Tamandua tetradactyla: one gene and its partner. The protein of the gene in region 1 interacts with the protein of each later gene in a pairwise test. Links are inferred from orthologs where the notes say so. Each region holds a gene or a part of one and is shown on either strand. Other genes may lie near its edges.

Region 1 (7,749 bases):
AAATTGGTATCAACATCACCTGAGACCAGCAGTATCAGTATCACTTGAGAATTGGCTAAAAAAATACACATTCTTGGGTCTCACTCCAGCCCTCCTGAATCAAAAACTCTGGGGCTTGAGCCCAGCAATCCATAGTTTAAAGGCCTTCCAGGTGATTCTGATGCATTGATAAAGCTTGAAACAGTAATGGGATAAGGCTTTGAATACAGGCTGTGAAATTAGAGCCGTCAAAGCCCATGTGCTTAATTATACTCCCTCCCTATTACTTAAGATGAAAACTAGTTATAGGTGATTTCTACTTTAAAAACAGCCATTAAAAAAAAAATAGGAGTCTAGGGCTGGTTTCATTATATCTCCTTGACTTCCAATTTGACCAAATAACCTTAAGTACTAAATTAACCACTAGAGGGAGTACTTAACAACCCTTCAAATATTGAATCTTTAAAGAGCAAAAAATTAGTAAAACCATACAAAAAAGTAAATCTTTTGCTGGATGGAAAGAAGCATTATTTCTATGTATCATCATTAAAACAATTGGCTTAGGTTATTTGAAACAGCTACATTTGAAGCTATATTGCTTAGGCATAAACTCACTGTTAGCCCATATATACACTACACCATGTTAGGTAATTTAATATCTTTCTTCATTTCTAAAGTTGGTGGGATGGGGGGGCTCAGGCCAGTAAAATTACAATATAATTTAAATTAAAATAATCTAGTTAAAACTATATCAAATCCCCTTTAAGTCCCAAAGAAATAAGACTGCATTGTATGTTTAGCTGTGTCCTACCACCTAACTCAGAGCACTTGCGAACAGAAATGGAAAATAAGGCACGTGGTACATGACAAGTTCTCAATAAGTGATTACTGAATAAGTGAGTGAATGGAACTAATGTAAGTCTTTTGCTCCAATGGACCTCTTAAAGCATCATAAATAAATTGGAAGTCATTCAATGTTATACAAAATAAGACCATTTTCTTCCACAATACATATACAAATATGATGCAACAGTTTAATAAAAATCACTACATATGCCATATGTAACCCGCAACAATAATTTCCAGAGAATTTTATAATACTATACCCAGTGATTGACTGATCCTCTGACACATAACCTCCTTCCAAAAGTACTAAAAGGCATTTTTTTGTCAAGGTGATTTTCATTTATATTTGTTTAAGAACTTTGCAAAAAGTCATGATTCATGAGAGAGAAAGAGAGAGAGATGAAATGAGACCCTGATACAGTGGGAAGCACATTGGAGAAGGAAGACAAAGGATTTAATTCCAGCCCTCCTACCATCTCATCATGTGACCTTGGCCAAGGCACTGACCTCCCTACCCCCAGCACCTCTTCTATGAGATGATGCACTCTAGCAGACAGTATAAGCCCAAAAGACAGGAAATACGGCCAAGTAATAAAGACTTGGGAACAATTGTGCTGATACAGATTTGAAATGTCTGTTGATAAGACAGAAAGATTAAAAAATGTGCATCTCCGTAGAAGTTTCCAAGGGAATATCCATGCCATATATTGGATTAAGACTGATGGAATGTATTACGTATTTATTCAAGAATTAATATGCTATTTATGAGGCATTGAACTAATAGTTTCAAGAATTCCATAATGAATAAGATAGTTCTGGCTCTATTACATCAATAGCTTCACAATGATTTTAAGATGAAGCCCCAAACGCCTTAACATAGCCCCTATATGACCTGGCCCTACTGACTTTCCAACTATGTCTCATACCTCAATACCCAGCCCACCCCTCCACTCCGACCTCACAGGTCTTTCATTTATCACAAACACCATGCTCCCTTTGCTATGGGGCTTTAACGCATTCATTCATATGCTCATTTGTAAACTCATCTATTTGTTGAGTACCTACTCTGGATCAAGCACTGTGGTGATACTGGGAACATAACGTGACCAAACAGAAAGTGCCTCGTTTCATGGAGAATATATTCTAGTCGTGGAAGAGAGAAATAACATACAAACAAGTAGGTTAAACTCAGAGAGTAATATATGTTTCAAAGAAAACAAAACAGGGGGCTATGTAACAACTGGGTGATCAGGAAAAGCCCTCAGTTTGTAGGTGCCTTTTAAGCAGAATCCCCTAGTGTAAGTAGCCTGCCATGTGAAAATCATTGTAGGAGCATTCTGGACAGAGAGAATAACAAACACAAAACTGACTCTGAAGGGGATGCAAGGGTAGTTCAGTGGTAGAATTCCCACCTGTCGTGTGGGAGACCTGGATTCGATTCCCAGTCCATGCTCTTCCCAAAAAAACAAACAAATAAGCAAACACAAACAAAAACCAAACAAACAAATTTTAAAAATTCAACAACTGGTGCAACAATAACATGATACTCACATGTAAAAATAACGAAATGTGACCCCACCATACAGCCTACAAAAAGAAAAAAAAACTGACTCTGAAATAATTTTGATATATGCTAAGACTAGAAAGAAAAAGTGTGGCTAAAGCACTATGGGGGAGCAAGAGAAAGTAGCCAGGAATACAGATGTGAGGTAAGGCCCTTTAACAGCCAGGATAAGGATTTTAAATTTTAAGTGCACAAGGAAATTCTGGAAGATTGGTATGATCTGATTTACATGTTTGATTGTGCATTACAGTATGTGGATGTGAGGGCACCAGTAAGGAGGCTTTTGCGCTAAGGGCTAATGATGACAGTGGTTTGGATTATGATGATATAAAAGAAATGAAGAAGGAATGATTCAAAATTCTGGAGGTAGAGCAGATGGGAATCGCCAGTGCGGCTAGGAGGGTATTGCCATTTTCTGAGATATGGAAGTAAGGGAGAGATGGGGGTGGGTTTGGGGGCTCAATTTGCCTGTGATGTCTCTGGACTGTTCTTCTCTCCCTCTTCACCTAGTTAACGCCTTCTCATTCTTCAGATCTCAGCTCACCGGTCACTTCCTCAATAAGCCCTTCCCCAACTAGGTTGCCAAACCACTATACTCAGTAGATGCTCTGCTGGTGCCATGTACTACTCCTTAGTAGTTTTGGTAGAGCAAATTGTGTTCGATTGCAAAAGTATCCACTAATTCTTCCCCTGCTTCTACTCACGAGCCCCTAGGCTCAGCCATGTGACTTGCTTTGATGGACAGGATATCAGCAAATGTGACCCAGGCAGAGATCTGAAGGGTACTTATGCAGTGGGGTTTGTCTTCTCTTGTTATTTTGGAACCCTGCAACCATTTGAAGAAGTCTAGCCAGCCCTTGGAGAATAAGAAACACATTGCTCTTGTTTTCCCTGATGACAGCTTGCCAACCCCTAGAAGTGTGTTAAGCCATCCTAGATCAGTCAGCTACCAGCAGCTACCTGTCAGCTGGGCAGACAAGAAGTAGAAGAACCAGCCAATGGACTGAGAATCCTGATGCTAGAAAAAGGATTGTTTTAAGCCACTGAAGTCGTGGTGGTTTGTTACACAGCAGAAACGATACAGTTGCACAAAATTTACTTAATATTTCACATGTATTTGTTGAATAGTTTAATTAAATACATTGTTTACCTCCTCTTAGTCCTTCCTTCCTCCTCTCCCACACAGTGCACTCTATAAGGGCAAAGACTATTCTACTTTTTGCCTACCACTGCACATTCAGAGCCCAGCACAATACTGGAAGATACCAGACTTCAATAGATAGCTTGCCAATTGAATGCAAGAGCAGAAGATAGATACACGTTGAAACATGACAGAGTAAGTTCCATAAGAGAGGTAACAAAGGACTAGGGGCATAAATTTGTCCCCATCAAAAAAAAATCTTGTTTTGAGCAGAACAAAGCACAAAGGAATACAAAAGCAAGACTATTTTCTCTGCCTCAAAGAGTGCAAAGTCTAGAGTAGCAGAGACAGAAAACCAATAAAAATATATCACAGAAGAAGGGGCCCCAAAAGCTGACTTGATTAGGGAAAGGTAGGAAGTCCAGGAAGGCTTCTTGATGTAGATAAAGCTTGAATTTAGTCCTAAAGCTAAACAGGTGTTTACTTGAACGAGCAAACACAAGTAGAAACCAGCTTGAGTGTTCAAAGGAGAAAGAAATGTCTCTTATTATTCATCTAAGGGTATTATGGATTAAGTGTCCGTTGTCCCATTAAACTCTCAAGCTCTCCACGGCTGGAGACCCTTCTTAACACTGTATTATTCCAAGTGTCTAACATAATCTTTACCCCCAAAGTAGGTGCTCAATAAATATCTGCTGAATAGATGAAAATTTTAAAATGAAGCATTAAGCACTTGCTCCCCTTATAAAGGCAGCCTCCAAGAGCCGACATTTTCAGAGTTGCACATATGTGACCAAATGTAACATAAGCATAGACTGGCCTTTATTTCGCCTTTAGTTCTACGTTTTCCTCGGGGTTATTGCTCGGTTGTCTTTTTTTCTCTCTTTTGCTACGGTCCAACCTGGAAGGATTTGGAAACCAATGGGCATTTGAGGTAAACGCGGCTCTTCGTTCAGGCGTGGCAAGAAAGCTCCAGCGGGAGGGGCTTCCGCGATGTTTTTAAGGAACTTCGCCGGGAGCCGCATCCGCGGGTGAGGGCGCGGGCGGATCTGCAGGGATGGGCGTGACAGCTCCATTGCTTTCCCGCGCTGCCCTTCTCGAGCCCCAGACAGTCTAGGTCTGGCGCTAGGGTTGAGCGCGGGGGCGCGCGCTGCGTTTCCATAGAAACGCCCCGGCCAACGCGGAGGTGCACGGGGCGGGCTCTCCAGCTCCCTGCGACGTCGGCCTGCGCCCTGGCGCGCGCTCGGGCGCCTCGGAACGTCGGTTGTCGGGCCCCAGCACCGGGTTCCCGGTGATGCGCGAGGCAAGATGTTAAGGCGCAGCCTGGAAAACCGGTAACGGCCCTGGGGCCCAGCTGCCTAGGGCCTACCACACGCGAGGACTTGGGTGGGGGAAGTGGGGCCTCTTTCCGTGGGGCCTCCGCGCCGAATTCCAGCCTTGGGCCGGAGGCTGGACCGCCGCCGCCTCTGCGCCCTGAGGCCTATTTCCCTGTGCTGGAGCGAGCCCCGGCGCCCAAGGGGAGTCCAGGGATGGGTGGGCCGCTGCCCCAACCCAAGCTCTGGGCCTTTGGTCCCAGCTGTGCAGCAGCCTGGAAGGCAGGCGGCTACCTGTACCTCGTCGGGAAGCCAGGCCGTGTAGCGCGGAGCTGCCTTCCCAGCCTCAATAGTCCTCCCCCGGTAGCTGGTAGGTCCCGTGCGTCCTTTCAAGCTTCTCTGTCCGCCTACATTGGCCGGATATCGTGGCCAGGCTGGGAATGGGGTCCTGGAGGAGGAGGATCTGCCCCGGGAGATGGTGGGATTGTTGATGGTTTTGCGCCTTCAAAGCTGCAAAGTATCCCGGCAATGTTCGTTTATTAAATGCACATGACAGTGAGTCTGCCTCATCTCTAACAAAAATGTTTTGGGTTTTTTTGTGTGTCACCTTTTTCGCTAGGGACGCTCAAACCAGACAACTGCAAGATGCTGTCACAAATGTGGAAAAGCATTTTGGAGAGCTGTGCCAAATCTTTGCTGCTTATGTGCGGAAAACTGCCAGATTGAGAGACAAAGCAGACCTCTTGGTGAATGAAATCAACGGGTATGCCTCTACTGAGACCCCAAATTTAAAGCAGGGCCTGAAAAACTTTGCTGATGAGTTTGCCAAACTTCAGGATTATCGACAAGCAGAGGTATGGAGCAAGGTCACAGCATCATTGTTAAGAATGACGCATGAAGTAATGGATGAAGGAACCATGAAGACCTCTGTGTATCCTCAGTGGTGAACAAACACGCGATGATAAATGTACAGATTTTCGTGTCTGTAACAATTGTGTGTACCTATTAAAGGAAAGCTTTCTGTGTTTTCTTTTACTGCTTTTTAAATCACCACTTTAGTGTGTCTTGAAGTCTTGAATTTCCCCCACTTCATTTGCCAGTTTTTGGCCAAGGGATAATTTTTTATAGGAGATAGTATATAAAGTGCCCATGGGAAGAAAAGAAGCATGACTTGTGTCTCCTTTGCATGTACATATGACTGGAAGTGGAAGATGTTGGAAATGGCATTGTGTGTGAATAAATCATAAATGGACAAGAAATCATTGCAGCTTCCAGGCTCTGAAAAATTTAACAAAAACAGCAACAAAAAAAATGCTGATTTATATCCAGTGATTAGCTGAGGCCCTCTTTGTGGTTTTTGCTCTTTTGGGAAGGGGGGGGAGGAGTAGACGTATAATGGTTTTTTCTTTCTAAAAGCCCATTTTTCCCCTTCAGTAATGAAAAAGAGCTTTTACTAATATTTTTGGTTTCAAGACATAAGTTAACTTGTCAGAGTTGCTCAGATCTGCTTTGCTTTTTTGTACCTTACTCATCAATGCTTTTGGTCCTTTTTTAAATCCTAAAAAAGAAATTTCAATTATCAAAAGAAATAGAATGTATAATAATCTTTGAACCCATGATTACTGCTCATCCAGAACTAGAAAAACTCAGAAATTGATTAAAAATTGCATTTGGAGTTCTTTTTGGAAAAATGTTCGGTTCTTGTGATGTTTCTTCTGTGATAAATACTTCTCAGTTATACTTGAAAACTGGGGGTTTAATGTTTCAAAAATTTATACCCACAAATAATCTTAAAACTCCTGTTTTGCCAATATATTCAGTGTCCTTTTCTAGAAAACCTTTATGCTATTTCTCAAATAGCAAAGTGAATTGATTTACATTTGTTCTCCTTTTATTTCCCTTGCTTACCAAATGGTGGAGGTGCTAATGAACAATGAAATGAACAAAAGGTAGGCAACAAAAAGGAGAACAGAAAAAAGATTTGGATAATCCTTACACTGAATTCAGTCTATGGATTATTAGGAATGGTATAGACTAAACTATCCTTTTAATAGTAATAGTTTTGATTTTAGGATTACTAATTATATGCTTGATGGGACCTCTTTTTTTTTTTTTTCTTTTCTAAATCTTTGAAAATGAAACATTCATTTATGTTTTGTTTACAGGAACTAAACAAAAATCAGTATGAAATGAAAATTATTCATTGATTATGCATGTATTATCAAAAAAAAGCCTTTCCCTGCTATAAAAATAATACACGTTCAAATGTGTCATCTTGTATTACTGTTCTGAGAAAATTTCAATGTTCGAGAGAGTTATACTATATTTATATACTGGTCATTTCTTTTAATCTGTTTTGTTAGTGCTTTACACTAGTGCTGTTAGTAAAAATAATTACTCAAAATGTGATAAAAAGTGGTAATGTTTAAGAAATAATTCTAGATAAAAGAAGGAATTAATGTGTGCTAGGGAGAGAAGAGAGGTCAACCATACAGTTTGAACACTGAGACCATTTATCTTGTTCTTTAGGCTTTGATAATTTACAAATGGCTTCTCAGAAAAATTGCAGCTAATGCAGTGATCCCTAACCATTTTTGCTTTTGAGGATTGTGAACAATTTTAAATATTTCCAATAAGCTGTATCTCTCAATTTCAATTTTCTTATCTGGAAAACAGCGATTTCGTTTTAGAGATAATGTATGTTGAGTATCCAGTACTGTACAGAACACAGAAAATGGTACTGTATTAAAATTTTAGATGTCTTAGAACTTGTCCCAAAAGCTACTGTTTTAAGGTAAAAAAGTATTGCAGAAATGATGGTGTGGCAGAGATGAGCTCCTCAAAAACCTGAGACATTTTCTTGTCATTGCACAGCGGATGCTTTTGTGCTATCACTGGTACTCTTC
Region 2 (7,089 bases), on another chromosome or scaffold:
AAATGTTCTAAGAAATGATGAATATGCAACTAGGTGATGATATTGTGAATTACTGATTATGTATGTTGTTTTGTTTCTTATTTTTTAATTAATAAATTAAAAAAAAGATAATGCATAATAATTGGCAAGCTATATATCCAACAAGAACATGAAAAAAAAACTTCTATGCTGTTTTCAGTGATGTGGAAATTAGTTTCACTAAAAATAATGATAAAAGTTTAGAAGGCCCTTTGGGGCTTTTATAATATAAAACAAAGAAGTATATATATAAAATGATTTGCAAATAAATTTTTAAAAATGGGTATAAAGATATTGGAGGATGTTTCCTCCTGATATTTCACAGGTAGGTGTATATATGTAAATAAAAACTGTTTGGGCCTGGGGACCACACCACAGGCCTTGGGCAAACCAGAATGTCTCCAGCTTAGTTGTAGAGGGGCAAGGGGTGGGGTCCAGGATGTTGAGGGTTTTGAAGCTGTGCGACCACTCATCCAAAACACAATGGCATGTTTCTGCTAGAGAAGAGAAAAAGGTGATAATGTGGAAAAGGGAAGAGAATTAATCTTAAATCTATAAAGGACAGATAACAGTGAAACAGAGGAATAACGAGGAAGAAAGATTTTACCCCAAAGAAGAAAAGGGAAAGTCACCAAAAATTAATGTAATTTCCTATGTACCCTCCATGAGTTGGATCCTATATTGGAATAGTTCATATATTTCTTATATTCCTTGCAGCAACCCTGCAAGGTAGGTAGGTATTTTTCCACCCATAATAAAGATAGGAAAGTAGAGCTTGGATAAATTTTTTTTCAACTTGTATCGATTTATTAAATTAGTATATTTCTATGATAAACACTAGTCACGACCTAAGGTTCATTACTGCTGTGATTATGGTCACAAATTAGAGACATTTTGCTTATCCCTACTGGCATAAATAAAATCAACAAGTACCTTTTGGCACTTCATAACTTAAAATTCTGAAAAGTTGAGATCGGGGCTTACAATTTGCTATTTAAGTGACCAGGTATGGTCTTGACAGTAAAGCCACCATCAAGAGCTGCATTAAGAACTTCATCTAAGCAGCTTGCTGTGACAAAAAATCTTGTGGGCTCAGATAATTTAACCAATTTGCCTAAGATCCACAGCTAGTGAGTAAAGGATCTAAGCAAGACTATCTGACTCCTAAACTCATTCTAATTCCTAAGTGTAATACCACCCCTAAAGAATTTTTACTTTCAGAGTACCCTGGAAAAAAAGATGAGAATGGTTGTATCAGCAGGAGGTACAACAACCCTCTGCCCCCACTCCCTTCCTCCAAGAAGTATGCAAGCAAGGGTAAAAGACTTCATGTTATGCTAAGTATCAGAATTTGTACTGTTTAATTCTGAAATTCCCTGATCAGTTAGCTAATCTATTAAATTGCCCTTATTTTAATAATTTGCGGGGCACATTTAAAAAGAAGCATTTTCGTCCATCACGTTGGAAAAAATTTAAAAGATGCATAATATCCAATGCTGGTGAGGGTAAAGGTGTACAGAGAAGAGTTAATCTAGCAGATCTCTAGAATGGTCTTAGAAAGGCCTGCTTGCAAGCTGGGACTTTCGGTGACATCTAGGAACTGGGATTTCAGGAGCATTCCCATCATTCCCAAAACTGATGAGAGTGGCTCAGTGTGCCTAAACTGTTCGTGTAAATAATGCGGTTTATGCTGAATACCTGCCTTCCTTCTGGGGGTCCAGAATCTTGGTACATGCCAGGCAGAGTGTTCTAGTTTGCTAGCTGCCGGAATGCACACACCAGAGACGGATTGGCTTTTAATAAAAGGGGATTTATTTTGTTGGTTCTTCAGAGGAAAGGCAGCTGACTTTCCACTGAGGTTCTTTCTTACGTGGAAGGTACAAGATGGTCTCTGCTGGTCTTCTCTCCAGGCCCCTGGGTTCCAACAACTTTCCTCGGGGTGACTTCTTTCTGCATCTCCAAAGGCCTGGGCTGAGCTGCTAAGTGCTGAGATGAGGAATGCCGAGCTGCTTAGCTGTGCTACGTTGGGATCTCTCATTTAAGCACCAGCCAATTCAGTCAAACATCACTCATAGCAGCAGACTCGCCTCCTAGCCGACTGCAGATGTAATCAGCAACAGATGAGGTTCATGTACCATTGGCTTATGTCCTCAGCAACAAGACTAGGTATGCTCACCTGGCCAAGTTGACAACTGAATCTAACTAACACACAGAGGGTGCCTATGTGACTAACCCCTGGTGAAAACTCTAGGTACTGAGTCTCTAATGAGCTTTCGTGGTACACCACATTTCTGTCATACTTTGACACATTTGTATCACAACCAGACATAAGAATTAAGCATGTCCTGTGTGACTCACTGGGAGAGAACTCTTGGGAGCTTGTGTCTGGTTTCTTCAGGACTTTGCCCAATGTGCCTCTTCCCTTTTCTGATTTTGACTTGTATCCTTTCACTGTGATAAACCATAGCCATGAGTATAACTATATGCTGAATCCTGTGAATCACAGGAATCACAGAACTAAGGGATGGTCTTGGGGACCCCTGACACAGTGATGAAAAAGATACTTCCATTTACCATCAGTGAAAATAAAAAATGTTGTAATTCTTTTGAAGGCAATTAGAAAAAACCGGCAAAATTTTAAATGTGCATATACTTTTTGGCCAGCAAATCCAATTTCTAGAAATTTATCCTCCAGAAACATTTGCACAAGTTCAAACAAATTTATTACCTTGTTGGCAGTAGTGAAAAATGACAAACAATCCAAAATGTTTACCAGTGTTGGTGTGGACAAATACATTGTGGTAAACATTCTTAAAATAGAATACTAAACAGCCTTTAAAACCAATAAGATAGCTCTATGTTGACTGACCTGAAAAGTTCTCCAACACATGCTCTAACATTAAGATAGGATACGAAAGAACAATGTGGATAGTAGAATATCATTATAAGAAGTCAGTAAGAAAAAAGCAAGAATTTATATGTGTAAATAAAAAAAAGATCTGGAAGGATACACCAAAGTCTTCATAGTAGTTACACATGAGGAGAGTAGGATAACTGAATAAAAAAATGGTCAAACATTGGTAAAAATCATTTGGTATAATATAATGTAAAATAATTATATATTATGGAAATATACCTTTGCATTTAATATATTACAATGATAGTATAAATCATGTATATTTATGAAAAAAAGGATTTATGAAAAAAACAGTGCTTGCCTCTCCAAGTATCTGGAGACCTTTGAAGAAGGAAAATAAGCAAAGCAGTTCCTGTCAAAGCCCTAGATTATGCTAAAAGCATCATGTCTGACACATCATAAATCATGTTCTAGGCTGGGCTTTGCCCCTCAGGTACTTGCTAATCCTTGAACAAGTCATTTTATTTCTCTGGGTTTTAATTGGGGCACTTCACTCATGATCTCATTAGTTCTCCTAATCCTTAAACCAAGAATTGTCATCATATATTAAAAATGAGGAAAAGGAAGGTTTTGGGCTAGTTGCCTTCTAAGGCAGATCCAATAATTCACAAACAACTCTGGCTGCTATCCTGGAGCTCTGAGGCATTAATTAGTGTGGGCCTGAGGGACCCAGGCGCCCCTTTGGCCCACAGGAGCCTTCTTTGCAGTGAAACTTCCTAAGGAGAGAAGGTGCACTCTGAGGAAGTGAATGAAGGGAGGAGAATATATCTGGATTGCAATCATTGCTCTTTCACTCACCTCTAGGGTGACCCCAGCACTTACTCTCTCTGGGCCTCAGTTTCTTTATTTATAATCAGGGTTAATAACAGTACCTGACTCTCAGGTTGTTAGCACTTTAATGTGTATAAAAAGCAGTGGCATTTGAGCCTCACAACAACCCTGGAAGTAGTTCAAGTAAGTACGTCCCCATCTACTGATCAGAAAACTGAGGCTTCAAGAAGCTAAATAACCGGTCCCAAATCACGCTGTGGGAAAGTAGTGGATGTGGGCTTCGACCAAGGTCTACTCCTTGGTCATAATGATCACTAATCATTATGCAATGCTTTACAGTTTGCAATGGGCCCTAAAATACACCATCTTATGGTAATTCTAACAAGAAGGTTAAGGGACGAGTCTTCGGTTCTTATCAAATTCCCAAAAGGATACCAATATCTCAAAAAGTTAAGAGCCAGTCCAGCACATGCTGCGCAGGTAAAGCCACGAGGCACCCGGGGCTCTCGGACTCAACTAACGGTTCTTAACGTCCACATGCCCGATCACATTTACACGCAAGATCACCTTCTCTGCAGACCTAAGGAGTTGGAATTACAATCTCAAGTTAAAACCGAGGAAATAGACCTCGAGAAGGGAAGTGACAGGCCGAGGCTGAGCTCGGGCCCCGCCCCCTGCGCCGCGCCCCAGGCCCCTCCAGCTTCGCTGAGGCCCTGAGTAAAGTGCAGAACAGACTTTCCGCCCCTCTCTGGGGAGGCCAGGGCGTCCAGCCCTCTTCTGTCCCCTCAGGCTACCCAGGCCTCGCTGCCTCGGGCGGTACCGTGCTCGGGGACCTACCTGACGTGGTCCCAGAGCCCGAGGAGAAGCGGACCCCGACAGCTGGCCTGCAATGACCCTCCTAGGTGCCAGTCACCCACCACTACCGCGGCTCACGGCCGGCTCCATCACCCCCGGCTCCCAGAGCGCGCGCGCAGCCCCGCCCTGGACTCCACCACCTAATTAAAGGGGGTTCCCAGAGCGGGGTGGCCCCAAGGCGAGTCTACGCAAAACACCAGAACATCTTGCAAACTTCTCTCGATAAATTTCACAGTATATACACAGCAGCTTTCTTTTGAAATCATTTACATTCCCCATATTATAGGCCATGACGGAGAAATATTTTCATTCTCCCCCCAAAAACATTGGTCTAGTCCTGCACCTCTACGGCGGCCAGCTCATCACCGTGGTAACGGCGTCTCGCGGCGGCCACCGGGCTGGTTCGCGGTTCTATTGTGGGAAAGACGAAAGTGGCGGCTGCGCAGGGCGTTGCCTTGAGAACGCCAGGTCTCACAGTGGCAAAATGGTCTTCCTCCTCCTCCTCCCGACCACAAAGCAAAAGGCACTTTTCCCAAGTGGATGTAGGGGCAACGGGTGTCTGGCAACCCATCCAGAACTTTGCGAAGTCCCTCACTTTGCGTGGTCCCCTGAGGAACCTGTGGCGGAACCGGCCTCGAGGTAATCGGATTCCGTCCATGACTTCAGGTAAGACCTGTGGATGGACAAATGCTGGCCCGCCCTGTTTGCCTGGGGCAGCGCGCCGGATCCCGAGCAGGCCTTCCCCGCGCGTGAACTCTCATTCGCTTCTACAGGCAGGAGAAACTGAGGCCCAAGAACTGCTTCAAAGTCACACAGAGAACAAGGGTCTGAAAACTACTCGAGAATCAACTCCAGATCTCGTGAAGTACCGACAGCGTCTATTATTAGTTCCGTTAGATAAATGGAGAAACTCAGGACCATTTGTTCTTTCATTCAGGGGATATTTATTGGGTTCCTAATGAGGAACTGAACCCAGGGTGTCCTGGCTTCAAGGGCAAATCTATTCCAACGACACACACTGCTTTGGGAAGAGTAGTCCCGTCCTAGAAGGGTCTGGACCAGAGCTTTCCAATAGAAGCATAATGTCATAATATGAGCCATGTGTAATTTAAAAGTTTGTAGGAGCTACATTTTTTTAAAGACAAAAATACAAAAACAGGTGAAATTAATATGAATAATCATTTATTTAGCCCAATATGACCAAAATATTATTTTCAACATATAATTAATATTTTAAAATTAACTCTGCTTCGGTTTTAAAATTTATCTGCAGTCACACTAACCAAATTTCAAGCGTTCAGTTATCAGGTGTGGCCAGTGGCTACTGTATTAGTACAGATTTAGCCTCTTCCTGTTTTTGCAGCCTTGCTTCCCTCTGTTCTGATGTCATTCCACTCCCCTTTGTCTAATTAACTCCTTCTCTTCCATCAGCTCCTTGCTGTGAGACTAAGTCAAAACCCACTATTATGTCATCTTATAGCATGTGTACCTTCTTTGGAAGCAATGGTCGTAGTTATTGCATAGTCACTTATGTAATCATTTGATTATTGCATGTTTCCCCCATTAGACTTAAGCTCCTTTAGGGCAGGCATAATATCTGTTTTATCACACCATCCTGTTATCAGTATGAACACATATGATAGGCACTAAGTCAATATTCATTGAATGATGAGTTAATCTCGTCAATTCAGTCCCGAGTCTGCCTGACTCCAAAGTCAAACAGGGGGCATTTGAACATAAGCTACCTAAGTAGCTTTGGTGTTTATCCATCCACCTGACCCAAGCACAGTGCTTGCTTGGCACAGGGTCAATTTTCGATGAAAGTTAGTTTTCTCTCCCCTCTTCTTTCTGCCCCTAAGTAGTGATGGTAAACATTTACTTATCATATTTCAGAGAATACTTATTCTAACATAGTATGATAAAAAAATTCAGAAGGGAATGTGATGTGTATTTTAAACATTTTTCTAAAGACACATGTTCAATTTTCCCATTAGTCATAAGTAATGATATTAAACTAAAACAAGAGGATTTTCAGCAGGGTAGCCCTAAACCTAGTTTTTCAAAGAAAATGCTGTAGTTTTCCAGTTATGCTGGGGGATGGGTGGGAGAAAAGTGAGGAGCCCTAAAACGCACATACCTTCTCTTTCTCCACCTCTTACCTGTATGGCTAAATGCTAGGAGCAGGTGGGAAGAAAAAGTATTGAGCTGAGCCTAGGCCAGGCTTTCCTGTAACGCAACTGGCTTAGGACAGCCCAAGACAGATACCTTTTTTTCAGGCTAGGAAAGAGTGTGATAAGTGAGTGAATCTAAAACTGAATCAAATTTTGAGGGAACCTAGTCTTTAAAGAATATTTTGTCTAATACAAAAAGATGTAGTAGCAAACAATTCCAGTTCAATAATGTAAGTGCTGTAATAGAGAGATGACAGCACAATCCTGGACTTACACAGAGGAGAGGCAGCACTAATGGCCTTGAGGAATTCAAGATTTTCCAGAAGATAAATCAGTTGGCCTGAGAGTTGAATAGAA

The links.
Region 2: the proteins of CIBAR1 (region 1) and CBY1 interact in binary tests that used the Homo sapiens proteins (3 or more experiments, as listed by UniProt). The two-hybrid records come from large-scale screens. The link is inferred for Tamandua tetradactyla from reciprocal best matches to the Homo sapiens genes CIBAR1 and CBY1.

Annotation. Positions count from the first base shown.
Region 1 is NC_135332.1:137,014,737-137,022,485, forward strand, and holds the start of CIBAR1 (CBY1-interacting BAR domain-containing protein 1), read left to right. Parts: upstream 1-4,730; 5' UTR 4,731-4,838; coding exon 4,839-4,864; intron 4,865-5,462; coding exon 5,463-5,697; intron 5,698-7,749. UniProt on the Homo sapiens protein: Plays a critical role in regulating mitochondrial ultrastructure and function by maintaining the integrity of mitochondrial morphology, particularly the organization of cristae.
Region 2 is NC_135333.1:31,105,762-31,112,850, reverse strand, and holds the start of CBY1 (protein chibby homolog 1), read right to left. Parts: upstream 3,092-7,089; 5' UTR 2,057-3,091; coding exon 1,889-2,056; intron 1-1,888. UniProt on the Homo sapiens protein: Inhibits the Wnt/Wingless pathway by binding to CTNNB1/beta-catenin and inhibiting beta-catenin-mediated transcriptional activation through competition with TCF/LEF transcription factors.